Linked DNA regions of Macaca fascicularis. The protein of the gene in region 5 interacts with the protein of the main gene of each other region in a pairwise test. Links are inferred from orthologs where the notes say so. Each region holds a gene or a part of one and is shown on either strand. Other genes may lie near its edges.

Evidence for each region.
Region 1: the proteins of SSX2IP (region 5) and CCNH interact in binary tests that used the Homo sapiens proteins (3 or more experiments, as listed by UniProt). The link is inferred for Macaca fascicularis from reciprocal best matches to the Homo sapiens genes SSX2IP and CCNH.
Region 2: the proteins of SSX2IP (region 5) and TOP3B interact in binary tests that used the Homo sapiens proteins (3 or more experiments, as listed by UniProt). The two-hybrid records come from large-scale screens. The link is inferred for Macaca fascicularis from reciprocal best matches to the Homo sapiens genes SSX2IP and TOP3B.
Region 3: the proteins of SSX2IP (region 5) and CCHCR1 interact in binary tests that used the Homo sapiens proteins (3 or more experiments, as listed by UniProt). The link is inferred for Macaca fascicularis from reciprocal best matches to the Homo sapiens genes SSX2IP and CCHCR1.
Region 4: the proteins of SSX2IP (region 5) and TEAD4 interact in a two-hybrid assay, tested with the Homo sapiens proteins (2 studies listed by BioGRID). The two-hybrid records come from large-scale screens. The link is inferred for Macaca fascicularis from reciprocal best matches to the Homo sapiens genes SSX2IP and TEAD4.

The regions. Positions count from the first base shown.
Region 1 is NC_088380.1:91,395,020-91,400,164, forward strand, and holds the start of CCNH (cyclin-H), read right to left. Parts: upstream 3,563-5,145; 5' UTR 3,453-3,562; coding exon 3,336-3,452; intron 2,014-3,335; coding exon 1,891-2,013; intron 62-1,890; coding exon 1-61. UniProt on the Homo sapiens protein: Regulates CDK7, the catalytic subunit of the CDK-activating kinase (CAK) enzymatic complex. CAK activates the cyclin-associated kinases CDK1, CDK2, CDK4 and CDK6 by threonine phosphorylation.
Region 2 is NC_088384.1:31,145,024-31,150,420, reverse strand, and holds the start of TOP3B (DNA topoisomerase 3-beta-1), read right to left. Parts: upstream 3,563-5,397; 5' UTR 3,520-3,562; coding exon of another isoform or gene 3,501-3,519; 5' UTR 3,212-3,500; exon of another isoform or gene 3,185-3,211; intron 1-3,184. UniProt on the Homo sapiens protein: Releases the supercoiling and torsional tension of DNA introduced during the DNA replication and transcription by transiently cleaving and rejoining one strand of the DNA duplex.
Region 3 is NC_088378.1:141,510,502-141,515,629, reverse strand, and holds the start of CCHCR1 (coiled-coil alpha-helical rod protein 1), read right to left. Parts: upstream 3,563-5,128; 5' UTR 2,930-3,562; coding exon 2,687-2,929; intron 2,482-2,686; exon of another isoform or gene 2,416-2,481; coding exon 2,349-2,415; intron 2,271-2,348; coding exon 2,057-2,270; intron 423-2,056; coding exon 119-422; intron 1-118. Other genes in the region: TCF19 (transcription factor 19), read left to right, coding at 4,804-5,041. UniProt on the Homo sapiens protein: May be a regulator of keratinocyte proliferation or differentiation.
Region 4 is NC_088385.1:3,838,065-3,843,218, reverse strand, and holds the start of TEAD4 (transcriptional enhancer factor TEF-3), read right to left. Parts: upstream 3,563-5,154; 5' UTR 3,478-3,562; exon of another isoform or gene 2,996-3,477; 5' UTR 2,642-2,995; coding exon 2,590-2,641; intron 1-2,589. UniProt on the Homo sapiens protein: Transcription factor which plays a key role in the Hippo signaling pathway, a pathway involved in organ size control and tumor suppression by restricting proliferation and promoting apoptosis.
Region 5 is NC_088375.1:149,991,660-149,996,350, forward strand, and holds part of SSX2IP (afadin- and alpha-actinin-binding protein), read left to right. Parts: intron 1-2,597; coding exon 2,598-2,748; intron 2,749-4,598; coding exon 4,599-4,691. UniProt on the Homo sapiens protein: Belongs to an adhesion system, which plays a role in the organization of homotypic, interneuronal and heterotypic cell-cell adherens junctions (AJs).

The sequences.
Region 1 (5,145 bases), on a different chromosome or scaffold from region 5:
GGTGATATTCCATTACTGAGTTATTAAGATAAAAACGTTTGAAATACATACAAGCTGTACCCTAAGGGTTAAAAAAAATATATCATCAGGATCTATTCACAAATGTTAAATGTTAAATTGTGTGAAACAGAACTTATTTATGGAAAGGTTTCTTTGTAGAGATTACCCAGAAAAATACTAATACTCATTAATTCTTCTTTAATCAAAATAAATTGTGATGAATTACTACAGAAATGCCATAGCCAAAAGATCCTTTCCCATCCTTTGCTTGTCTATCCCTAGCCTACCCTGGCTAATCCTTCCTATGGTCACTGGATTTAAAAATACGTGAGTGTGTATGTTTTAGAAGTCAGAGTATCAAAAATGTCCTGAATTAGATAAATTCAGGAAGAAAAATACAAATGTTCACAGATTAACCAATCTTATAAAAATAATGAGCAAGGCAATAAGCCTTCTCTCTAAAGCCACTACATATTTGTGATATTGTTTTGTATCCATTCCCATGATTTGTGATCACTGCTGCCAACTGAATGGCAGAAACAGCACTACCATTTACTGAATGCATACCAAGTGCCAGACTCTGTGATAAGCACAAAACTATCATCATGTTTTAACCCTTACAACAGCTTGGTGAAATATTGCTATCTCTACAGAGAAGGAAACTGAGTATCAATGAGGTGAACTGACTTATCTAGGTCACACAGCTAATAAGGAACAGGAATGAATTCAAGTAAGACCTGCCTGTACTTTTAACCATTATATCATTTGGCTGGAACCAATGAAATAACCACTAATCTATTTTATGATAGAAAAAAGAATATTTCCTTTTAAGTATTTTAAAAGTTTAGTTTTGTCATTATGTATAACAAAAAATTATTCACCAATGATAAACATGTTATTTAAAAATAAATTCCATAAAGAAGTTCATTAAAGGATTTTTTTCTTCATTTGATAAGATCACTTAAATTTACTGCCTCATTTTAGTTCTTTTGTAAGAATAAACCAAATCTGAAGATATAAACTAATCAAGTATACCTAAAACTCTCTCTGAATCTTTGATATCTCAGATGAAAAAAAAATTATAAATTCTATGGACTTAATATTTTCAACATACTTCAAATTTTTTTCAACTATAAAAATGGAGATAATTTCCCAGAAGATTATTCTCTACTCGGTCGTAAGCTAGTCACACTGTATAACTTTAAAATTTAACAGTCTTTTACTTAAGATACACTTCTATATTTGTTCTTTGCAACAAACCTGTGAGAGAATAACGTAAAGACATTTTAAACACCCTCCCACTCTAGCTTTTTTATCTTTCTGCTTTTTAATCTCAGCTACCTGTTTCTCCTCACGGTTGCCCACCCCAGCAAAAAACAAACAGGTCCTCAGAACCATACATCTGAAGCAATAAGACAATCTTTTTTAACCAAAGATAAAACTCCAGCTTCTACTAATTAAGGCTTAAAAAAATCTTATGGTATCAGTTTCAGCTGGGGCATATGATTACCAATTATGAAAGAATGCATTACTTCAAACATTTATTGGGTGTCACAGAGTTGGAAAAGCAAGTAGTCTATGTTCTAGTCCCAGTTCTATGGCTCACTAGTTGAGAACTTAGAGGAAAGTAATTTATTTTGTTTCTTTCTTTATAACATTACCTGACCTCAAATTTTTTTCTGACCACAAAATGAGACTTGAAATACTTTTGAAGATATGATACAGCAATTCAAGAGTTAAGGCCTGAACTGAAAAAGATATAATGTGCCAAAAACTAATTAATTGTAACTAACGTGAATTTTTAAGACTAGAGTGGACAGGGAATTTAGAAGAGGTCAAATTTCACAAGTCAACTAAAGGACATTATATTTCATCACTACTGTAACTTACCACAACAGACCTTGGCATTGCTGGCTTAAACACCGAACAGAATTCCAATAACCTTTTCTCATAGTATTTGCAGAGTGTCATTTCTTCATGAGGCTCAAGAAAGACTGGATCATTCGGAAGAACCTTTAGATCAACAATTACAACACAAGTTCAATGAATTCAATGAATTAAACAATTGTAAAACATTTTTCTCTATCCAGATTAAATTTAGTTTATATCTCCAACGAAGGGGAATATATCACGCCTCGTTTTCTTTATAGATTCGCTAATCATTACACAAAATAGCTGTAGGAAAACAATAAACTAAAACTGTACCATCATTTCACAACTTTTCGGAATGTCAGCTAGACCTTTGCTTCATTATATAAACAATCACGATAGGCTATGTGCATATGCTCACAGCTGTGATATCATTATTTACAAATTTAAAAGTAGATAGACTTTTTACAAATATGATTGGAAAGCTTCCAACATTCGTTTCTCGGTCAGTCATTACGACACAAGTTGTAAAAAAACAGCAAATGTTTCAATAAATTTCTGTTATTTTAAGCTACCCAGTCTGTGGTGATTTTTTTAAGGCAGCCCTTAAGGAAACTAATTCAGGTGCTAAAATCAGTGATGTGAATTAAAGGTAGAAAGTAAAGTAATTCAGTGTCAGTAATTTGGAGGCACTGAACACTTGCTGGAGTGGAGCTTGTAAGAAAGATTAAACCAGTCCTAGAGCTGTAACAGAAGGGACTTGGCTAGCGGGCCACAGTCCAAACCTTATCTTTAGTCACTTGGTTTGTATTCCGTCGCCGGTCTCCCGCCTCATCCAACCCATTCACCACGAGGTTGCTAGAGCGCTGTTTCCAGAACGGAAATCTGATAAGGTTAGCTTCCCATTTTAAATATTTCAAAGGTTCCTCATCCTTTCAATGGAAATTTCAAACGCCTCACTTCCACTTACAAACAAGTTCCCTTCCTACCCTCCCCAGCCATTCCTGTACAGGTACTCACATTCGGCCACATACGACCACAAACACGTCCACGCACCAGCCCTGTAACTTCTGACCTCCCTCCCACTCTGCACGGTAGTTCTGACTGCCTGGAACGTCCTTTCCCCATTTTCTCCGCATTGGCTACTGGGAAAAACCTTCCCCAACATCACCGCTTGACAAGTGAACGGCTCTTGCCACGCACTACCTTAGCACACTACCTACTCTCTTCTTCACCACGTTACAAAGACTGGTTACTTGTCTGCCATTCGACCACGGGGATGGCGTTGTTCGTCTTTGTACCCACGGAACCTCGCGAGGTGCTCGCTTATTTTAATAGATAAACGCACTCCGCGCCGCAGAGGCAGAGAAATGAGGGAGTGAGACTGTCCTGGGAGCCAGAAGAGCTCCCGCAGCTGCTCAGAATTTAGTGACCAAGCAACTGGGCAACCGTCGGGAAAACCTCACCTTCCCGTTGGCCACCGCTTTGCATCTGAATTTGCGGTTGGCGTCGGCCCGCAGTCTTGCCAGCTGCTCCTCACTGGAGAAAGTCCAGTGCCGCTTCTGGCTACTGTTGTGGTACATTGTGGAATCGTGACCAGGTCCAGACAGCCTACAGGTGACAACCCAACCGCAGCAGTGCCGTGGCGTAAAGCAACCGAACCCCCACCTAAGATCTCGCGGAAGCCTAGGGCGTCCGGCCAGCCGGCGCGGGCGCGCTGACGTCACGACTGCGTGTCCAGCGCGTACGCAGTCGCATTTCCGGAGCGGACTAGGAAGAGACCTTATCCAGGGTTCGTTGGGGCGCCCTCTGAGACGTAGGTGGGCGGAGCCTACGGAACGCTCCTCCCGGTGAGCCTGGGACATAGCTCCGCCCCTTCCAGGCAAGATTTAAAGGAGAAGCCCGGCAGGAATGTTCAAAAGAGGCATAAACTGAGGGTGTGGGGTAGGTTGATGTAAATTCACAGGGTGTAATCAGAAATTAGGAAAGGACTTGGTAGGGTGTTCATTTTTAAATGGAGGCCTCACTGAAGTTGACATTTGTGAAAAGGCTTTTTCGAGTTGAAATAGTAGGTTGATCAATCATGTAGGGAGATCATGGGGCCCAGAAAGAATAGGTAAGATCTTCAGGCAGAAGCATTCCTAGCCCTTTTCAGGAGGAGTTTGGAGATCGGTGTTCTTGAAGTACTACCAGAAATCTCTGAGAATGGAACATGGCTGAAAAACTTGAAGCAGTGGATGTGTATTGGCCCTTACAGTTTGCCACTTTTGTTGCCTTGTCTATTCTTTCTCTGTGCAAAAAGCACTTTCCCTTCTGTTGATAACTAGCCAATCCTCTCCCCCTATTTTCACCTCTGAAGCCAAGATGTATGGTAGTTTTAGTTTTCTTGAGATTCCCATCTTCATTGCCTCTAGGGAATCTTACAGTAAGCTATCATGAATATTAAGGTATTTACTAGTTTTTAAATTAATAGGACTTTCAAAATTGCAGGTGAGATCCAAAATTTATGTTGATTCTGAAGTGTCCCATTTAGGCATACCTTATTCTCTCATGTATTTATTATATATCCAAATTTCCCTATGGCAAATAGCTTTTCTAAATAAATAAATAAATAGAAAGAGAAAGATGATGAGACCTAGAGAATTTAGGTCTTGAAAAGCCTAAAAAGAAGTGGCAGGATGGCTTTAACTCTGCTTTCTATGAAAATGTTTTTAGAGGCTTAAGATAGGGAAAGTCTTTTCTTGTTCATTTTTGTTGGGTGCAGTTGAGGTTAGAGTTTGCCAGAGTTATTTGAATTCCTCAAACTTATGCCATTTGTGGTTTATAATTTTGGCGATCCACACACTCAACATATGTGGCTAATCTGGTGTCGTAAATTGGCTAAGAGAGAAAAAGAGAAAGAGAAGATTGAAGGGCATGGCAAATTGATAACAACGAATTGTGAACAACCTAAAATGTTGCATATGGGGGAAAGAATAATTTAATGGAGAAAAACATTAATGGTACAAAAGATAGGAAAATAAGTGATCTAGATAATTAAATGTCTATATAAAGTATTAGACTCATGACAGTTATATATATCATATAAATTCTTTTCATTTTGTTTTTCTGAAAGATATTTGACAACTCCTTAGTTTTATGTAAAGGAAAATAGAAATAGGCATTTAAAAGAGTTGGCAGACTATGATTTCTACAGGGATATGAGTAAAATTTCTGAATGTCACTTAGGAAAAATATATGAAAAACTTGGCATTGCTGGTGTAACTTTTTTTAAAC
Region 2 (5,397 bases), on a different chromosome or scaffold from region 5:
GAGTTCTCTGCAGCATTATCAATCATGATAAAAGATTAGAAACAAGCTGATGTCTGTCAACAGGGAGGTGGTTAAATAAAAGCATGGCATTCTCTGGCCGGGCGTGGTGGCTCACGCCTGTAATGCCAGCACTTTGTGAGGCCAAGGCGGGAGGATCACCAGGTCAGGAGATGGAGACCACCCTGACTAACACGGTGAAACCCCATCTCTACTAAAAATACAAAAAATTAGCTGGGCTCGGTGGTGGGCGCCTGTAGTCCCAGCTACTCAGGAGGCTGAGGCAGGAGAATGACGTGAACCCAGGAGGCGGAGCTTGCAGTGAGCCAAGATTGCGCCACTGCCCTCCAGCCTGGGTGATTGAGTGAGACTCTGTCTCCAAAAAAAAAAAAAAAAAAAAAAAAGCATGGCATTCTCTACAGTGGAGCATCTGGCAGCATTAGAAAGGAAAGCATCTGCTTGGTACATACTAACGTGGATCCGATCACTGAGATAAATCATGCTAAGAAAGCTGGGCACGTAACGATGTGTAAAGAGCACTGCCATCTGTGATCACACATATGTGTGCACACGTGTGCATTTGATTATGAAGAGGCAATATGTCTGGATAGAATATAAAACAAACAGTCCAAGCAGTCACCTGGAGTGGGTGTTAGGGCCTGGAGGTCAGGGCTGGGGAGGCCTCCTCACCACATTCTCTTTTGTACCTTTTACATTTAGCACCTGGACACAAGTGACTGAGGAACAAGAACTAAGACAGGGGACTTTAAAATAAAATAAAACCAGAAGAATAAAGGAGGGTTGGAAAGGGCATTGTTCAGAAAGGATGCCAAAGGAACCTCCTTCACTAAAGGGGCTTCTGCTGCTTGTTATGCTGTGCGGGGGAAGAAGTCTGAGGTGGGCCTTGGGCTGTCAACCTTGTCCCCCACTTAAGAGATCACAGGACCACAGTGAAATCAGTAAGCTTGACCAGAAAGCTGCCCCAAATAAAATGACAATTTACTTTTTTCCTCAAAATAAGTAAGTGGATGCTTCCCCTAAATACACAACCATCCCAGAGTGAGAGCCGAGGCCTTGAGGAATGATGGCACTGTCTGCAGATGTGCTCTCCGGCCCATGACAGCTCCAGCTGCATCTTCCACAGCTCTGCTGCGCACCCACCTTTCCTCCCCATGTGCCAGCAGGCTTCGGCCTAGGCCACTTTTCCCCCTTAGTCTACTTGCTCTGACCCCTGCCCCTCCCCCTCCTGAAGACTGCATCTGGCCTCAGCCGTCTGTCTCTCCCGCAATTGTCCCTCCCCCTCCTGAAGACTGCATCTGGCGTCAGCAGTCTGTGTCTCCCACAATTGTCAGGTTCATTGCCGTATTCCTGGCACCCAGCACGCATTAAATGCCTGCTGAGTGAACGAATGAACAACCAAGGTGGTTGTGACTGGCCTCTGCTCTCTGTTCTGGGGAAGTTTTGATTCTACCAAAATCAGAGGCCCAGAAGTGAGGTTTAAAAGAGACCTAGGTACTCCCCTTCCCTCACCCTGGGAAGCCAGAGGCCAAAAGGGAAAACTCGAAGCAGAGGCGGATTGTTCTGTGAGGGTGTAAGTTTCCCATCTCTTCCAAAGTAGGAAGTTTTGTGTTAAAATGTTTCCTCAGATTTTCTCATGTCTATGCCAGAGTAGCCAGCAATTATGTATGACATAACGAGGACACACCAGGGACCAGGCAGTTCTGCCAGCATCCTAGACAGGGACTGTGGGGTCAGAGAGACCAGATCTCCAGTGGCTGGACTTGGTTGTTCTAGAACCCGTGCCCCAAGCCTGATCCTGCCCTGCCTCTGTGAGCATTCTGATGGAACAGCAGCCCAGCTATGCTTCCCTGTAGCACTCACCACTACACCTGGTACAGCCTCCATCTACTTATTTGGCTCGTCCTACAGCTTCTAGAATGTAAATAAGCAGCACGAGAACAGGGGTTTTGCTTTCTTCATTCTCATGGTAAACAGACGGTGAGCAAATACTTTGGGAGGCTGAGGCAGGTGGATCACCTGAGGTCAGCAGTTCAAGACCAGCCTGGCCAACATGGTGAAGCCTGGTCTCTACTAAAAATACAAAAATTAGCTGGGGGGGTGGTGGTGCGTGCCTATAATCCCAGCTACTCAGGTGGCTGAGGCAGGAGAATCACTTGAACCCAGGGGGCGGAGGTTGCAGTGAGCCGAGATGGCGCCACTGTACTCCAGCCTGGGCGACAGAGTGAGACTCGGTCTGAAACAAAACAAACACAAAAAAAGAAACAAGCAGATGTGGCTTGGGAGTAGGCCTAGCAGTGGTCTGAATAGCATTAAAATTCCTAGGATTTACCACCTCAGTAACTTTACCAAATACTTCTAGAATCAGGAAAAGAGGGAAACAACCATTTATTTATTTATTTATTTTTGAGACGGAGTGTCGCTCTGTCGCCCAGGCTGGAGTGCAGTGGCCGGATCTCAGCTCACTGCAAGCTCCGCCTCCCGGGTTTACGCCATTCTCCTGCCTCAGCCTCCAGAGTAGCTGGGACTACAGGCGCCCACCACCGCGCCTGGCTAATTTTTTGTATATTTTAGTAGAGACGGGGTTTCACCGTGTTAGCCAGGATGGTCTCGATCTCCTGACCTCGTGATCCGCCCGTCTCGGCCTCCCAAAGTGCTGGGATTACAAACTCGAGCCACCGCGCCCAGCAACAACCATTTCTTAAGCTCCCCCTTTGTACTAGGCACACCATAGTTACAAACACTATTCAATCTTGCTAACAACCCCATAAGGCAGGTGTTGTAATTTTTTAAAACCGTGAGTAAATGGAGGTTCAGAACAATTCACACTAGCGTCAGGCGACCTTGGCAAAGGAATCCCAGGACTGGCTAGCCATCAAGACCAAGTTAGGCTGGCCTCTCAGGTCCTGTTTCCAAAGGTGAGAAGATAAAAAGGCAAGACGAGGAACATCTTACCTTTCACTTCTGCCAGAAATTATTGCCCCTGGATTCCAGCTAATTCGTTCACAAAAGTACCCCACTTCATTTTTAGATAACAGGTCAGAGAACCTGGGTGCCCTCAAAACCCAGCCAGGGCCTAGGGGGCGGCGAGTGGAAGCTGCCTGGGGGTGTACCGCACCAATCTGGGCCCCGGCGGCTGCACAGCCTCCCTGAGCCTCAGTTTCCCTACCTGTGAGACTGGGACAGCAGACCTCACCTCAAATTGCTGTGGGAGGGTTCGGAAAACAAAAGTATTAACCACAGCGCCTGCTCCCTGCAGGCACAGGGCGGGCCCATCTCCACCTTCCTGAACCCCTACAGCAAGCCCCGCGGGAGAGGATCACCCCCGCCAGGGAAGAGGCAACAAGAATGCAGAGCCCGGCCCGGGCCCTCTCCCGAGCTCGCGGGTCCTCCGCCGGCCAACGTTGAGGAAACAAGCCAGAAAAAGGCCTGCGCTTCCCGCCTTTTTGAGCCGCCCGGCGAGGGGCCCACAGCCTGCCGCTCACCCGCAGCTACACCTCGCATCCAGCTCCGGTCCTTGCTCCCGGGGCGGCCACCAGCAACCCCTACTTCCGGGTCCAGCCGCTTCTGGCGTCCCCGCGTCCGGTGTGCCAGCGTCTGCCCTCCGGCTTCGGCGGGTCGGCGTTCTTAGGTTCCCTGGCTCACGGATTCCGGGAGCACCCCAGGAAGCGGCACTTCCACGCCGCGGACCGCAGGGGTCCCCAAGCCCTGCACCCAGATTCTTCCCCCCGACGGAGAGACAATCACGACAATTATCATTACAATGATTATGAAAACTGGCATGAAAACATCTATGCTGTTAATAATTAAAATAATAAAAATGTACCGATGTGTGTATAGCAAGCTTCTTTCGATGCTGTAAAAAAATCTGTGGAATGAATGAATGATCTGTGTAAAACATATCTGGAAGACGAATTCTAAAATTAAGTTATTTATTTATTGATTGATTGATTGATTTTGAGACAGAGTTTTACTCTTGTTGCCCAGGCTGGAGTGCAGTGGTGTGATCTCGGCTCACTGCAACCTCTGCCTCCGGGGTTCAAGCAATTCGCCTGCCTCAGCCTCCTCAGTAGCTGGGATTACAGGCACACGTCACCACGCCCTGCTAATTTATATGTGTGTATATATATGTGTGTGTGTGTGTATGTATATGTGTATATATATGTATGTGTGTGTGTGTGTGTATATATATATATATTTTTTTTTTTTTTTGAGGCGGAGTCTCACTGTGTTGCCCAGGCTGGAGTGCAGTGGTGTGATCTCGACTCACTGCAACCTCCGCCTCCGGGGTTCAAGCAATTCGCCTGCCTCAGCCTCCTAAGTAGCTGGGATTACAGGGGCACACCACCACGCCCTGCTAATTTATATGTGTGTGTGTATATATGTGTGTGTGTGTGTGTATGTGTATGTTTGTGTGTGTGTGTGTATATATATATATATTTTTTTTTTTTTTTTTGAGGCGGAGTCTCGCTCTGTTGCCCAGGCTGGAGTGCAGTGGCCTCACTGCAACCTCTGCCTTATGGGTTCAAGGGATGATCCCGCCTAAGCCTCCTGAGTAGCTGGGACTACAGGTGTGTAGCTAATTTTTTGTATTTTTTTTTTTAGTATAGACGGGGCTTCACCGTGTTAGCCAGGATGGTCTCGATCTCCTGACCTCGTGATCTGCCCACCTTGGCCTCCCAAAGATTTTTTTTTTTTTTTTTTTTTTTGAGACGGAGTCTCGCTGTGTCTCCCAGGCTGGAGTGCAGTGGCATGATCTCGGCTCACTGCAAGCTCCGCCTCCCGGGTTCACGCCATTCTCCCGCCTCAGCCTCCCAAGTAGCTGAGACTACAGGCGCCCGCCACCACGCCCGGCTAGTTTTTTGTATTTTTAGTAGAGACGGGGTTTCACCATGTTAGCCAGGATAGTCTCGATCTCCTGACCTCGTGATCCACCCGTCTCGGCCTCCCAAAGTGCTGGGATTATAGGCTTGAGCCACCGCGCCCGGCCTCTCATGATCTTATTTTAAATAACACGCACACATTTCCCTTGCTCCCTGTAGATTTTCCCAACCTGCTTTTTTTTTTTTTTTTTTTTTTTTTTTTTGAGACGGAGTCTCGCGCTGTCGCCCAGGCTGGAGTGCAGTGGCCGGATCTCAGCTCACTGCAAGCTCCGCCTCCCGGGTTTACGCCATTCTCCTGCCTCAGCCTCCAGAGTAGCTGGGACTACAGGCGCCCGCCACCTCGCCTGGCTATTTTTTTTGTATTTTTTAGTAGAGACGGGGTTTCACTGTGTTAGCCAGGATGGTCTCGATCTCCTGACCTCGTGATCTGCCCGTCTCGGCCTCCCAAAGTGCTGGGATTACAGGCTTGAGCCACCGCGCCCGGCTTTTTTTTTTTTTT
Region 3 (5,128 bases), on a different chromosome or scaffold from region 5:
TCATCACTCCACTACTCACTACTCATGGAGAGTCTCTTCTGCAATACCTGTTCTTTGCTTGGAAGCTACTGCCCAGCTCTCCGTTATGAATTTAAATCCTTCCCACCCCTGCATTCACCTGCTCTTGGTGCAGCCTCTGAACCTCTTCCAGCTCGCGCTGGCTCCCCTCTTCCAAGTTCTTCCGGACGACCTCAGCCCCAGCCAAAGCAGCACGCAGGCCCTCGGCCTCAGCTCGGCCGGCCTTCTCTGCCTGTGCCAGGGCCTCCAGCTCCATGGCCTGGGCCTCTAGCCTCATCTTCTGCTGCAGTGAGGTCTCCCGCAGGAGCCGGACCTCCTCCTCCAGCCGCCGCAGTTCTTGCAACTGCCGAGCGATCACCTCAGCCTGCTGGCTCAGGGCCTGTGACCCCTCCAGCTCCCAGGACCTTCAAAGACAGGTTAGTGCAGGTGAGACTTGTCTCCAGTGCTGGAAGGATAGTTGAGGGTGTAAACATAGCCAGAAGGAAAAGAGGACCTCTCTGCCCCCGTGTGAGGAGGTGAAGGGGGTGCTGAAGCTGGGGTATGGGGATGTCTGCATTGACATTATTATCATTCATCAAAGCCCTATTGAGCATGTTAAGTCCAGTGCCTGGACTCACAGGACCTAAAGTCTGGCTGAGATGATGGAACATGATCTCCCTAGAGAGAGCTACATACAGACAGATTCAACATCAAATGTGTATATCATTAGGCCACACATTCTTTTTGTTTTTTGGTGTTTTTTTGTCTTATTTATTTTTTATTTTTAGGCCACACATTTTAAGTGGAAAGGTTGGAAGAACAGAGACTTCTCAATTCTGATTTAAGGGCAAGAAGTTTGAGGGAGGAATGGGCATAGAGAGAGCTGAGCTTCCAGTATCAATATGGTGAGGCCAGGTGCTAGTTAAAATGCATTTATTGAGTGTTAGGTATACTTTATGAGGAGTCTGAGAGAACAGTACATAAATAACATAGTGCCAGCCTTTGGAGACATTGTCTACCAATATCACGTGAAGTTTAATCTAGCTTGGAACGTGGCTCCTGAGGCAGCTGTCTCTCTGACACCCAGGACCACAGGAGATTGTTGTTGTTGTTTTTAGAGACAGGGTATCACTGTGTCACCCAGGCCTCAATGCAGTGGCTGGATCATAGGTCACTGCAGCCTTCAACTCCTGAGCTCAAATGATCCTACCACCTTAGCCTCCCGAGTAGCTGGGACTACAAATGCATGTCACCACAGCTAGCTAATTATTTTCTGTGGAGACGAAGTCTCACTTTGTTGCCCAGGCTGGTCTTGAACTCCTGGGCTCAAGTGATCCTCCTGCCTCAGCTCCCAAAGTGCTAGGAGTATAGGTGTGAGCCACCATACCTGGCCTTTTCTTTATTTTCTTCATTTATTTTTAAGTATCAGGGATTTGTAGGCTAGGGAAATTGACTTGCCAAATGTCCTCTAGCTGGTAGCCAAACTAGAAAGAGAGTCTCTGTCTCCTGACACCCAGTCTAGTGCTCCTTCTTCTTCATCGTGCTGCTGCTTCTAATGTAATCCTACTCTGGAGCAAAATGGCAGAATGATATCCCAGTACATCTGGGAAGACACATGAAACAACAAGAATAAGAATGTTTACAGACAATACGACAGCATGGCCAGCTCCCATAGCATGTCCTCTGTAAAGGCTTTCTTCCATCAGAATGAACCCACACTGCCACAGTCCTGGGTCTCTACTTCTAGTTTGCACTTCTTCATCTTGCCTCATACTATGCTTTACCATCAGTTGATGGTCAATCTATCTCCCCTCTTAGGATTTTAGATTCCTTATTAATTACAAATTTAAGTCAGGATTTGTCTTATTCATTATTGTTATCCTCATCCCTAGCACCTAGCACACTGCTTTATTATCTAAGCACTGCAGGAACTAATAATTGCTTGCATAAAAATGAGTAGGTTCTGGAAACTAGGGCCGAAATAGGGTAAGGAGTTTATTCCAGTGAAGAAGGGTCACTAGCAAGCCAGCCTGAGAAAACAGCGAGGATGGATCCCTACCTGCCTCTCCGCCCTGGCTCCTGCCTGTCACTGGAAACATCCTGTTTCCACATGGTCACTTGAGGTCTCTGGGTGTCTAGTCGCCTCTCTGAGACATCTTGATGGCCTGGGGGTTGGACCAGGGGAATGTCTGAGAGCCAGGTGGGAGCCATTCTCGGCAGAGTTGAAAGGGGCCGAGCTTGAAAATGGGAGGGAGGAATCAGCCCAGTGGAACCTGAAGAATTACAAAATCAAAGATGGTCAGTTTCCCAGGCAGAGACAACCACCACTCCCCTTGTCTGGTCCCACTGACCTGAAGGTGGAAACATCTCCACATTATTTGAAGGCTCTAGATTCTGTCTCCAGCCATCTATGTTCCCCTGGACAATAGGAGAAACAAAGACACTCCAATTCAATTTTCAGGCCACCTTCCAAAGAGAAAGCCCCTACAATAACCAAGTCATAATCCTTGAATTACAGCCAGGTCCACCCGATGCTCAGCTCTTTTCCTACTTCCCCAAAGAAGTAGGAGATACCCCAAATTCACTTGCTTGTCTCAACCTGGTTCCTCAGGGAACCCAGGCAACTATCAAGTGGAGAGAATTTACTGAAAAAGACAGACCGAGAGGGGCTCTGAGGCTTTACTCATACTTTCAGGATTCTGGGCAGTGCCTTTACCCTCCTCCTTAAGTTTCTATGGTCCCTGCTGCCCCTGGCCAGAGGTGAGAAAGGAGGTACACAGTGCAGGGGTCTTGAGCGCCATCTCCAGAGTTCTCTCCATGGCTCAGCAAGGCCTGGGGGAATCCCATCCAGACACCACCAGGCCATGACTCTTGGGTCCTTCCCTATTAAAGTGCTGGCCCAAGGCCTGGCCCCAGCTGAATGTGGCCACATGCAGGGCTAGACCCTTCCCAAGACCTTGGGAATCCAAGCAGCCTAGATCCCCAGGCAGAAAAGCCAGCGTCCTGACATCTCATCCAAATCTTTACTGCGGCTGTCCTCTCAGCTTCTCTCTACTATCCTCTCAGCTTCCATGCCTGCCGCCCGCCTCCTCTTTCTCGAGTCCTAACACATAGTGGGCACTTTAAGACCTTCCCCCCACCCTCCCACCCTCATTAATCTATTTTTTACCCGAATCTGGGATCCCTACTCCGGTCCCTTTTTACATCCTAATCTACTTTTTTCTGAAGGAATTGTTCTGGTCCTCACCCTCACCCCCATCTCTCAATAGTCTGCTCTCGCCCCCTGTACGCTAGCCGGCTCTGCTCTCCCCCCACTGCTCCCCTAGATACCCAAGGCTGTTCACCCAGTTGGCCCCTGAGCTCTTAGGCTGTTCTGATCTCCTCATCTACCCCTTCACCTGGCCCCTGTTCCCCCTTCCCCTTTGGACCCCTTGAACCCTCCCAGCACCCCCGCTCAACCCCTTCCCGCCCACAACCGACTCTTCCCGAACGTCCCTTACCCACCGCGAGAACCCCTACTGCGCCTTGACCACACCCCCTACGCCTCGCTCCGGGCCCCGCCTCTGCCTCGGCCTCTGACCGCGCCTGCGCAAGGCGGGGGCCCTAAGGTCCTATCTCCCTGTAGGGAGGAGGAAAGGTGTACGCAGGCGCAGTGGCGTCTAAATCTGGGCCCACAGAATGTGTCGACGCCTGTCCGCGCCCAGGCGGCTCCTCCCCACTGCGGGAACCCGGGAAAACTTGTGAACTAATCAGAAAAAGCGGAAGGCGGGAGATCTTAGGGAGCCGTCCAATGGCGCGGAAGAGAGCAAATGAGCTGGCCAATCAGAAACGGCACGGGGGCGGGCTCGCTCGGCGCGAAGTTCGGGCCCGGGAATTCCGAAGGAGGGGTAGGCGCTGCCCGCGCGCCGAGGCCGCGCCCCTCCTGGCCCCGGCTTCCTGGCTGTCAAACAGCTGCAGCAGTATCGGCTACAGCAGAGGAGCCCAGGGGGTCCCAGGACCCGCGGCACAGGCTGGCACTGCTTGAAGAGGAGGCTACTCGGAGACTGCACCGCGCTGGTAGATCCGAAACGGGGCTGGGGCCGAGAGGGAAAAGGCCGGGTATGCCTTGCATGATCGCGGGGAGCCCCTTCCTGTTTTTATCCCACCTAGAGAAGCCGGGAAGTAGGGGTTTAGGTCCAATTTGTTGGAGTACTTAAGAACTCGTTTGCACTTCCTTTTGGGGGATGACAGTAGATTCATTGCCCTCGGAGGTTCAAACTAGTTATGAGTGAGGGATTGGCCAGAAGATCGGGGCGCAGGCAAGCGGGAGTGCTCTATTAGGATAAGCAGGTTTGACAGGAAGAAGCTGCTCTTCTCCGAATTACACAGAGGTGATGTGTTCGTACTGCACGTAGACGTGTGTATAACAGGACCTCCCCCCCGCGCCCCGCCACACCGACACACACAGGAGCTGCCTAAAGTATCCTTGCCTTGCAGATTGGAGGCTCCCCAGATATTTTGCGACCTGAGGATCCAGCTCAAGTGAGGTGCCACAGGACGTGGTCCTGAGTTTGCATTGCACGGAGACCTTCCTGGAATTTTTCATTTGCAAGTCGGCTTAACAACCGATTCTGCATTGAGTCCTAGGCTGCTTGCACTCTGAATTTGGACTATTCAGGTAGTGTGCTCAAAGTTGAAACTGCACACAGCACAACTCAAGTTTGCATCAGACTGGTAAGCGAACTTAAGCCAGCGGTGCGTGGCCCAGGAGTGGGAAAGGAAATGGATCCCTAAAGTGGAAGAGGTGGTGCAAAGGGGGCACCGCCCATGCTGCCCTGCTTCCAACTGCTGCGCATCGGGGGCGGCAGGGGCGGTGATCTCTACACCTTCCACCCCCCCGCCGGGGCTGGCTGCACCTATCGCTTGGGCCACAGGGCCGACCTGTGTGATGTGGCTCTGCGGCCCCAGCAGGAGCCTGGCCTCATCTCTGGGATCCACGCCGAACTGCACGCCGAGCCCCGGGGTGATGATTGGAGGGTCAGCCTGGAAGACCACAGCCTCCAAGGTGAGCAGTAAGCAGGGCAGCTTTGCCCCTGGGTGGTTGAAGTTCCAGGCTGGAATGAGTAAGGTCTCCACAAGACCCTACTGCCTG
Region 4 (5,154 bases), on a different chromosome or scaffold from region 5:
CTCCTTCCCCAGAGCAGCTAGGTGCTTTCGGCCAGCATGGAACAGAGTATTTCTGCTCCTACCAACCTTATCTGAGCCACAAGGCACGGCCCAAGTCAGTCTGCTCCAGCTTCCCCGCCTGTTGGATGAAGGCGGCTGGGGGGAGTAGGGAGTGCACAAGCACTGCAATCCACAAGGTAGGAGACAGAATGCCAAAGGGAGAGCATCGGTTCTAATCCCCGCTCTGCCACTCGCCAGGGTTGGGGCATCAGTTTCCCCATCTTTAAAATGGGAGGTGCAGTGGCTCACGCCTGTAGTCCCAGCACTTTGGGAGGCCGAGGTGGAGTTCAAGACCAGCATGGCAAACATGGCGAAATCCCGACTCTACTATAAAGTACAAAAAACGGCTAGGAGTGGTGGCTCACGCCTATAATCTCAGCACTTTGGGAGGCTGAGGCGGGCAGATCACCTGAGGTCGGGAGTTCGAGACCAGCCTGACCAACATGGAGAAATCCCATCTCTACTAAAAATACAAAATTAGCTGAGCGTGGTGGCGCATGCCTGTAATCCTAGCTACTTCGGAGGCTGAGGCAGGAGCATCGCTTGAACCCGGGAGGCAGAAGTTGTGGTGAGCCAAGATCACACCATTGCACTCCAGCCTAGGCAACAAGAGCGAAACTCCATCTCAAAATATATATATATATGGATATAAAACTAGCCGGCCAGGAGGCTGAGGCAGGAGAATTGTTTGAACCCAGGAGATGGAGGTTGCAGTGAGCCACTGTACTCTAGCCTAGGCGACAGAGTGAGACTCTGTCTCAATAATAAATAAAGTAAAATAAAAGTGAAATAAAATAAAATGAGGGACTTAGATGCTGACATTAGGGTATCTAATAATGTTCAGCAAGCTCACCCTGGGGCCAAGGCAAAACTGGAATCAGAAAAATAGAAGCTGGCACTATGTTCTCTGGTGACCAAGCCCTGTCTGTCCCCCTCCCTCCTGGCCTGGGCCACTAGGACCCTGATTCCTAAGGATGCAGAACACAGCGTAGGCCTGGCTCATAGTAAATGCTCGGTCCATGTTTGCTAAATAAACATGATAGACAGGGCAAGGTTTCTCAGATGGTGCTCAGAGAAACACGAATTCCAAAAACACTAATCCCTAGGAAAAAGAGGTTCTTACTGAAATAAGCTTAGGAAACACTGGATACAACAGCTATCCTATGGAGTCCGTGGGATGTGCCAGGTACTGTGCTACTGCGTGGGGGCTCTGCAAACATCGACTTTTCACAGGAAACTTTCTGGACAGACAAGCTCCCCTCCTATTACCCACCAGGTAACAGCCTGAGAGCCTTAAAGGTAGTGAGAGACTCAGAATTTGTACCCTGGTCTGCCTGACACTAAACCGGTGCCCTTTCCACTCCATCAATGCTGCTTTTAGACCATCGCACACCAGGCTGAAGAGGTGAGAGGATGAGGTGTTTCCCACAAGAACATCTGAATCCTCAGGATAGATGGAGGAGCAGGGACAAGAACCCCCAATCTCCGAGACAGTTTCTGGCTCCTTCCTTCCAAAAAGCCCTACACATTATATCCACATTGAGGCCCTCATGCAACAGGCTACTCATTCCTCTTCTCAAAGGAAGTGCTGAATGTCTAGCAAGTTGGAAAGAATGAGGGATTCTTCTACTGGGTTACCTGGTTAGCTCCAAGGAGAGTTAAACCAGGAGAAAGTTGTTCAGGCTGGTATACCTCCCTATCTGTTTGTCCTTGGGGGCCAACTTAAAAGCAGTATTTACACAAGTCTCCAGATTCAAAACTGTCTCCTCTTTCTGAGGGATCCACCCCAACAAACCTTCCCAAATCTCATTCACCCATCCCCTCCCCCAAAGGCAAAGATCTCAACTTCCTTCAGCCTCCTACCAGCTTGTTCTCGGAACCATTCCAGGCAAGCACAAGCCCCTGGCCCCGAGAAAGTCAGCCTCCTGGCTGGAAGAGGCAGGTGGAGACAGCTTCCTTCCAGCTCTGCCCGGTCCAGGGGAAACGGAGCCTGGAGGCCACACACTCCAAAACCACAGCCAAATTATCCCTGCACTCAGGCAACCAAAGACACTGACTCTTGCCCACGGCTATGTAGGGAGGAAGAACAGTCCTAGCCAGAACCAATATCCTCGAAGAGAAACACACACTCAAGAGACGTGGCATCACACACCTACTCAGAGATACTCACACTTTCAGAGAGCCCCTTCTTACGCAGACACATACACACACTCTGTCACTCACGTTCAACACAAACAGATACGCCCACTGGAAGCCAAGGTGAGTCACACGTGAATAGATATCACCCACACAGAGACTCAAAGCGAGGGAGACGCGCAGTCAGTTGTCACACAGATTCAGCACAGACGCAGTCAGTACGCGAGGCCTCAGGTGCCTGAGCGCAGCGGGGGAAATGTTCACTTTGGGGTTTGAAAGTTCTGCTCCCTGGATCGATTCACTAGTCTCCATCAGGGAACACAGCAGCTTCCCAAGCCCTGGGGTGTAGGACCTTTTGCAGGCGTCCCCCCACTTTCGCATCGCCTGTGCACTTAAAACAGGCAGTCCGCTTACCACCAGGTCTCTCCCTTCCAGGCTCAAAAAGGGCCCAGCAGAAAAGGGGCATGGGTGCTGAGTCTCTTCTGTTGCCGACGCTCTCGGTTCTGCCTCTCCGGTCCTTTCCACACCGGCCTCCCTCTTCCCCAAAGTCCCGAGTGTCCACCCCCCTTACCCGCCCCTGGAGCCGCTTCGCCTCCACCAGCCTCAGTCGCGCCGCCTCCACGTGCCTCGCTCTTCCCAGTCTCCTCCCGAGAGGGAGCACCGCACTCACCGCGCAGACTCCTGCCCTCCGGCAAAGTCCCACCAAGTCCCCGCTCCCCAGCCTTACCGGTCCCAGGGTTCGGGAAGGTGGGATGTGTGCGCTAAGCCAGTTCCAAGGAGTCCGCCCCGAGCGCCAACTCTTCTGGCCGCGGCGATCGCTCTGCGGGGACGACAGGGCGTCAGCGCGTAGAGCCGGGCTCCGGCCGGGGCCGACGGGCGGCGCAGTGAAGGCGGAGCCGCGGGGCCAAGCCCACCCCGCGCCGACCGGCCCCGGTGCACCCAGCGGAGCGGAGCGGAGCGCGCGGGAGGGAGGAGTTTTCCCAGAATGGGACTGACGGGAAAACACGGGGATCCCTATTCCTGGAGGAGTGAGTCAACCGGGAGCGAGGAGGGGAGCGCGGGGCGGACGGGAGGGAAGCGGGAGAGGGGCAGCGAGCAGCGTCGGAGCGCGGAGGGAAGCCAGGGGTCGGGACGGAGCGCGCCGGAGCGCAGAGGTCCGAGGCGGGAACGCGGGCCGCGGAAAGAAAAGAGCAGCCGAGCACGCGGCGCGAGCGGTCGGCTGCGGCGGCGGCGGCGTGGGGCGCGCGGCCCGGGAGGGCGCCGGCGGGTGCGGCGGGCGAGGCGGGCGCGGGCGCCTCTCACCTGGCGGGACGCGGCGGCGCCGGAGCTGCGGCCCTCCCGCCCCCTGGCCTCGAGTGTGCGAGGAGGACGCTGGAATGCGCGGAATGAGGGCTGGAATGAGATGCGCGCCGCGGCGGGAGGGAGGGAGCGGGAGGGAGGGAGCCGGAGGGAGTGGCGGCCGGGCCACCGGCACCTCGGGGAGGAGACTGCGCGGAGCGCGGGCGGGCGAGGGGCCGGGCCGCAGGGGCGGGGCGGGGCCGGGCCGGGCCGGGGCGGGCGGCGGGGGAGGGGGTCGAGGAACCGCGGGGACCCCTCCACCCCGGCCTCGGCTGCGGCCCCCACGCCCACTCGCCCTTCGATCTCTCCGCTCCGACTCTTTGCCTGCTGGTTGCGCGCCCCGCGCCCTCCCGTCCTGGCGGGGTCCCGACTCTCTTTCCCAGGAGCCGAGAGCCTTCCTCTTCGCCGGGGTGGGGCTGTCCCGGGGGGAGGTGGACGGGGCCCGGCCTCCCGCCCCGCCACCCGGCGTCCCTCCGTGCGAGTCCCTGGGAGGCCGGGGAAGGGGCGGGCGCCCGGCGCGCAGGAAGGGCTGCTCCCTTCCCTGCGGCTCCCACCAAAGGACACTTGCTCCGGGGAACCAGGAAGCAGGAACTCGCGGGCTCCATTCCCGGATCCGCCGCCAGTGCCCCCTCGCTTGCCCTCCCCGGCTTTAGCCCTTTCCGTTTTTCTCTCCTGCCCCTTGGGCATCTGTAAAACTGCCACTACGAGTAAACCACATGGGAGAAAGGGCACTCGGTTTGAAGTCCATGTGGCATGCCCCGAGACGCCTTTTGGGCTCAGTGACTCAATGAATATTCATCTAATATGTATGATGAATCCAGATACTGTGAAGACCAGGATCAGCCCTCAGCACCTGCCCTCAAAGAGCCCAGAGTTTAGCTGGGGAGGCCTCGGAGTATACTGCCATCGGCGAGAGTCTGGACTTCAGACACACATGCCCAAGAGTCTCTTGTTGGGGCAGGGGGTGCTGGAAACACGCTGGGCTCCTTGTTTGGAGACGCTCAGGACAAACGGGCTTAAAGCAGTGTGCTGGCAGACAGCGCCATCATCTACCTGGCCAGGAGACTGAAACCAAAGGACTTTTGGCTTTTTCCAAAAATCAAGTCCAAACTTTTCTGGGGCGTTATCACTTAGCCTTGTGTTGGGTGGTTGTCTAGATCTTATCTCCCTTGCCAAACAGAAACTTCCTTGAAGACAGAGTAATGTCTGATTTATCTTATCTTTCACACAGAACCAGCCTGGTGCCTGGGATAGGGAAGTGCATGATAAATGCTGCGTAAATGAAAAACAATTGCTACCGTGGAAGATATTGAAAGGAAAGTGCTTTCGGTGCCAAAGTTGTTTCCAAGAGAGGTATTCCAAAAGTCTTTCAAGCAATGACGCCGTCACTGAGCTAAGCATCCACTCCTGCAAGGTGAAGGCGTTGAAGACAAAGCCCTCATTTGAATAGATGAATTGTGGTATTTTTATTAAATAATGAGTCATATCAAGGCTTGGTCATGCCTCATGCACATGAAAAGACCAAAACACAAGGCAGCGTATCAGCACCACGTGAAATACACACTAAGCACCAACTATTTAATTCAGCAACATAGGGGGGGGCGCGGTGGCTCACGCCTGTCATCTTAGCACTTTGGGAGG
Region 5 (4,691 bases):
AGTGCGGTGGCACAATCTTGGCTCACTGCAAGCTCTGCCTCCCGGGTTCAAGTGATTCCCCTGCATCAGCCTCCCGAGTAGCTGGGACTACAGGCACCCGCCACCACGCCTGGCTAATTTGTGTGTGCGTGTGTGTGCGTGTGTGTGTGTGTGTGTGTATGTGTTAGTAGAGACAGGGTTTCACCATGTTGGCCAGGATGGTCTCAATCTCCTGACCTCGTGATCCGCCCTCCTCGGCCTCCTAAAGTCCTAGGATTACAGGCGTGAGCCACCACGCCAGGCCTTTTTGAGACGGAGTTTTGCTCTTGTTGCCCAGGCTGGAGTGCAGTGGCACCATCTGAGCTCGCTGCAATCTCCACCTCCCGGGTTCAAGTGATTCTCCTGCCGCAGCCTCCGGAGTAGCTGGGATTACAGGCATACACCACCACACCCAGCCAATTTTGTATTTTTAGTAGAGATGGGATTTCTCCATGTTGGTCAGGTTGGTCTTGAATTCCCGAATATCTTTTACATTCTCCATTTTGAGGCCTGCTTGACCTCTTATATGTAGGTAACCTTTTTATCTCAAACTCTGTCACTTCTAGTCAGTTCTTAACATTCACTAATACTTCTTAAAGGTTAGCATAGTGTCCGTTACTCCTGCAGCGTCTTCAGTTTTTGGTCCAACCTTAACGTCTCATCACCAGATTTCAGTCAGCAAAAGTATGTGGCAAATCAGGGAGATCTTTCTCCAGTGATTAAACCTTCCTCACCCCCATTACTCAGCCAGTGGGTAGTATCCTGTATAATTCTTCATAATTCAGATGTTTAAGTGGACTAACAACGATCTCTTGAATATATTTTCTAGTTTTAAAAGATCCATTTTTCTAGCTCCCTTTTCTCTTTCATTTTTGTAGGGAAAGATTTTTGAAGCATTATAGCGAGAGAAATAAGATGTAATGTTTGGAATGCCTAGGTAGCATCCAGGTTTCATTTATTATTTGACCTACTTACTTGTAGCTAAAACATATACCAAAAATTCAGGTAAAATGAGTTTGTTGTTTTGTTTTTTGGTTTTTTAGAGGCAGGGTCTTGTTGCCCAGGCTGGTCTTGAACTCCTGGGCTTAAACAGTCATCCCACTTTGGCCTTAACAAAGTATTGGGATTACAGGTGTGAGCCACTGTGCCCAGCCAAATTTTTAATTTTCATTTTGTGGTTACAGAGTTCTGTTCAATCTGAGAAATGTGCAATAATTACTCATTTTTCTTTTTTTGAGACAGAGTCTCGCTCTGTTTACAGGCTGGAGTGCAGTGGTGCCATCTTGGCTCACTGCAACCTCCACCTCCCGGGTTCAAGCGATTCTCCTGCCTCAGCCTCCTGAGTAGCTGGGACTACAGGCATGTAACACCACGCCCAGCTAATTTTTGTATTTTTAGTAGAGACAGGGTTTCACCATGTTGGCCAGGATGGTCTCGATCTCTTGATCTTGTGATCTGCCCACCTCGGCCTCCCAAAGTGCTGGGATTACATACAGGTATGAGCCACTGCGCCTGGCCAATAATTTTTCTAACAGATTCGTAGTATTCTAATAGGCTTTAAAATGTTCAGAAGACAAGTTGTGCTTCCTTGAAACAGTTACTGGCAAGTAGCTTTTGAGGATTGGAAGGGGCTAGAATCACCATGAGCCAGATCCTGGGCCATTCCCCTGTCTGCTCTGCCTCTGAATCCCTGACCTCTACTAGCCGTTGCTGACCTCAACTACTGATAGAGTTCTTCAGACTCAGTTGCTCCCTCATCCTGCTGATCTCTATGTGAGAGCAGTCGAATCAGCCCTTCTTTCTTTTCAGCTTTTGTCTTCCTTTTTACCCCAGCAAGATTTTTATTGTTCAAATTAGTGAAGCGTATCTTTCTACCTTCCTGAATATTAATGACAAATTAGAACTACTTTATGTAGATGTGGGTTATTATGACATATATCCATTTTAGTATTGTTTCCCCATGTTCTTTATCCTGCTTTGATTCTGTATGATCATATATCAGTAAAGTTTGCTACTTCTTTATGATTTCATGTTTTGGCAGAATACAAAGAAAAATATCTCCAGTTGTATACAAAAGTACATGAGGAAAATAGAATTAACAGTTGCTTCTATTAAGTACTTCAGAGATTATTTCACAAATGTGTTTCTTTAAGCAGCCTAGGGTTAGAAACAAGTTGATCTAATGTCAAATATCAGTTCTGCCTCTTAGTTGTAATGCTGCTTCTCTAAGCCTCAGTTTTCCTACATTGTAATGAGCTGAGGGTTAAATAACGTGTGAAAACATCCAACACATTAGACAGCTATTGATATCTCCTCAGACAGCTTCATGACTCTTGTCATTAACTGTATTTGGATTCAAATTCAGGTTTAGAGCGAGCTGAATTTAGGAGTCTCTGTCTTTTTCTTTTTTTTTTTTCCAAGACATTTATGTTAAATACTGGGTCATATGTGCATAAGACACAGCACAGAAATGCTTCGGATGCGGCTCCCTCTGGAAATCAAACTGAAGACTACTTGCCTGAGCATCTAAAGCCATTGTAAGGTGGTAGCCTTTCCTCTTCATCTCTCTCCACTTGTAGGTTATTTCTGATGTTGAAGAAGATGCCGGGGAACTGAGCAGAGAGAGCATGTGGGACCTTTCCTGTGAAACTGTGAGAGAGCAGCTTACAAACAGCATCAGAAAACAGTGGAGAATTTTGAAAAGTCATGTAGAAAAACTTGATAACCAAGGTAACCACTGCTTCTCTGCATGTAAAGTGAGTTGTGACATTTGGTAAGGTGTTGATTTTCAGTCACTTAGAAAGCTATATCTGTAGGCTCAGAGCTAAAGTACTATATACTTCAGTTTGGTGGTTTGAAAGCAAGATTTTGCATACATTTATTTTTTCATTTTATTTTATTTTACTTCCTGACACAGAACCTTGCTCTGTCACCCAGGCTGGAGTGTAGTGGTGCGATCTCGGCTCACTGTAACCTCCGCCTCCCAGGTTCAAGTGATTTCTCCTGCCTCAGCCTCCTGAGCAGCTAGGACTATAGGCGCGCATCACAGCCAGCTAATTTTTTGGTGTGTTTTTAGTGGAGATGGGGTTTCGCTGTGTTGGCCAGGCTCATCTTGAACTCCTGGCCTCAAGTGATTCACCTGCCTTGGCCTCTCCAAAGTGTCCAGATTACAGGTGTGAGCCACAGTGCACAGCCAAGATTTTACATACATTTAGATGTGAGGTTTGAACCTCACTGAGAAAAATACACTTTGGTCTCAGGGTGAATGTTTGAAAAGAGGACATCATGGATCCATCTGCTCTGGATGCAGTATACAATCGAATAAAGATAACTGAGCCGGGATAAAAGACTACACATTGGATATAGTGTATACTGCTTGGGTGATGGGTGCACCAAAATCTCAGAAATCACCACCAAAGATCTTATTCGTGTAACCACACACCACCTGTTCCCCCCCAAAAAAGAGAGAAAACTGAGTCTTTTTTACTGACTCTCAAAAAATCAAGAAATATTTATCATAGTATAGATAGGAACTTTTTGCTTATTTCTAGATGCTTGCAGATTACTGTGTTCCTAGTAATTCACTTAAAATTATTTTTAAAATAATAGATGTTTAATGCAAAATATTAATTTGGAAGTACATAAAGTAGAATATCCAGGTCTCCATTCCATACATATAACACTTAACAGTTGGGTGTATATTTTTCTAGACTTTCCTCTATGGATTTGCAAGATACTTATTTTTAAAATTTTTTTAAAAATTGAATGTCACCTATATTTTTGTTTAGTGTGCTTTTTTCACTTTATTATTTCAGACATTCTTTTTCCTTATACATAGCTCTACATTGATGAATATATTCTTAATATTTTCTACTTGGTAAAGTTTGCTTTTAAATTAGGAAAATGAAGATTTCTGCTCTGTAAATGAAGCCTATGTAAAGAAAAAATTTAAATTGTCAAAATATGAACTCAATGCCATTATGTTAAGTAGTAAAGAGCAATCGGCAAAATTATTATTACAACACCAAAATGAATATACTCGAGATTTTGTTCATTTGAGTCAGTGCTGTCTACTAGCAAATAGCAAGTGTGTTTGGACTTCGTGTTTGTTGAATTTAATATTTGAGAGCAAGATTTGTGACACGTCATTGATCTTTGAAGCAGTGTCAACAAAAACATAATGATTTTATTTTTCTCTTCTCTGAATATGGCCATTTTGTCTGTTTTTAATTAGGACATAATCTTGAATAAATATGGTTTACAAATTAAATCTTGGCAATAGAGCTCCATTTGTAAGCATATCATTTAGTCTTAAAATTGTACAAATATATAATTGTCATGAACTCCTGTAGTTGCTGTGCTGCTTAAAAATTTTTTATAATGTTAAAATAATATAAATGTAATTTTGTTATAGCTTATGAAATTTTAAAAAGCCAAAGGACATAACTACTTTTTAGAAAACCTATAAAATTCTAGAAAGATAAAAGTTCTGAGAGCCCTTATTTTAACGATATGTGTAGAAACACTGTAAACTAAATGGTGGCTATAAAACCTATGTCAACTTACTGATTTTGTCTTAGTTTCAAAGGTACACCTGGAAGGTTTTAATGATGAAGATGTTATCTCACGACAAGACCACGAACAAGAAACTGAAAAACTTGAGTTAGAAATTC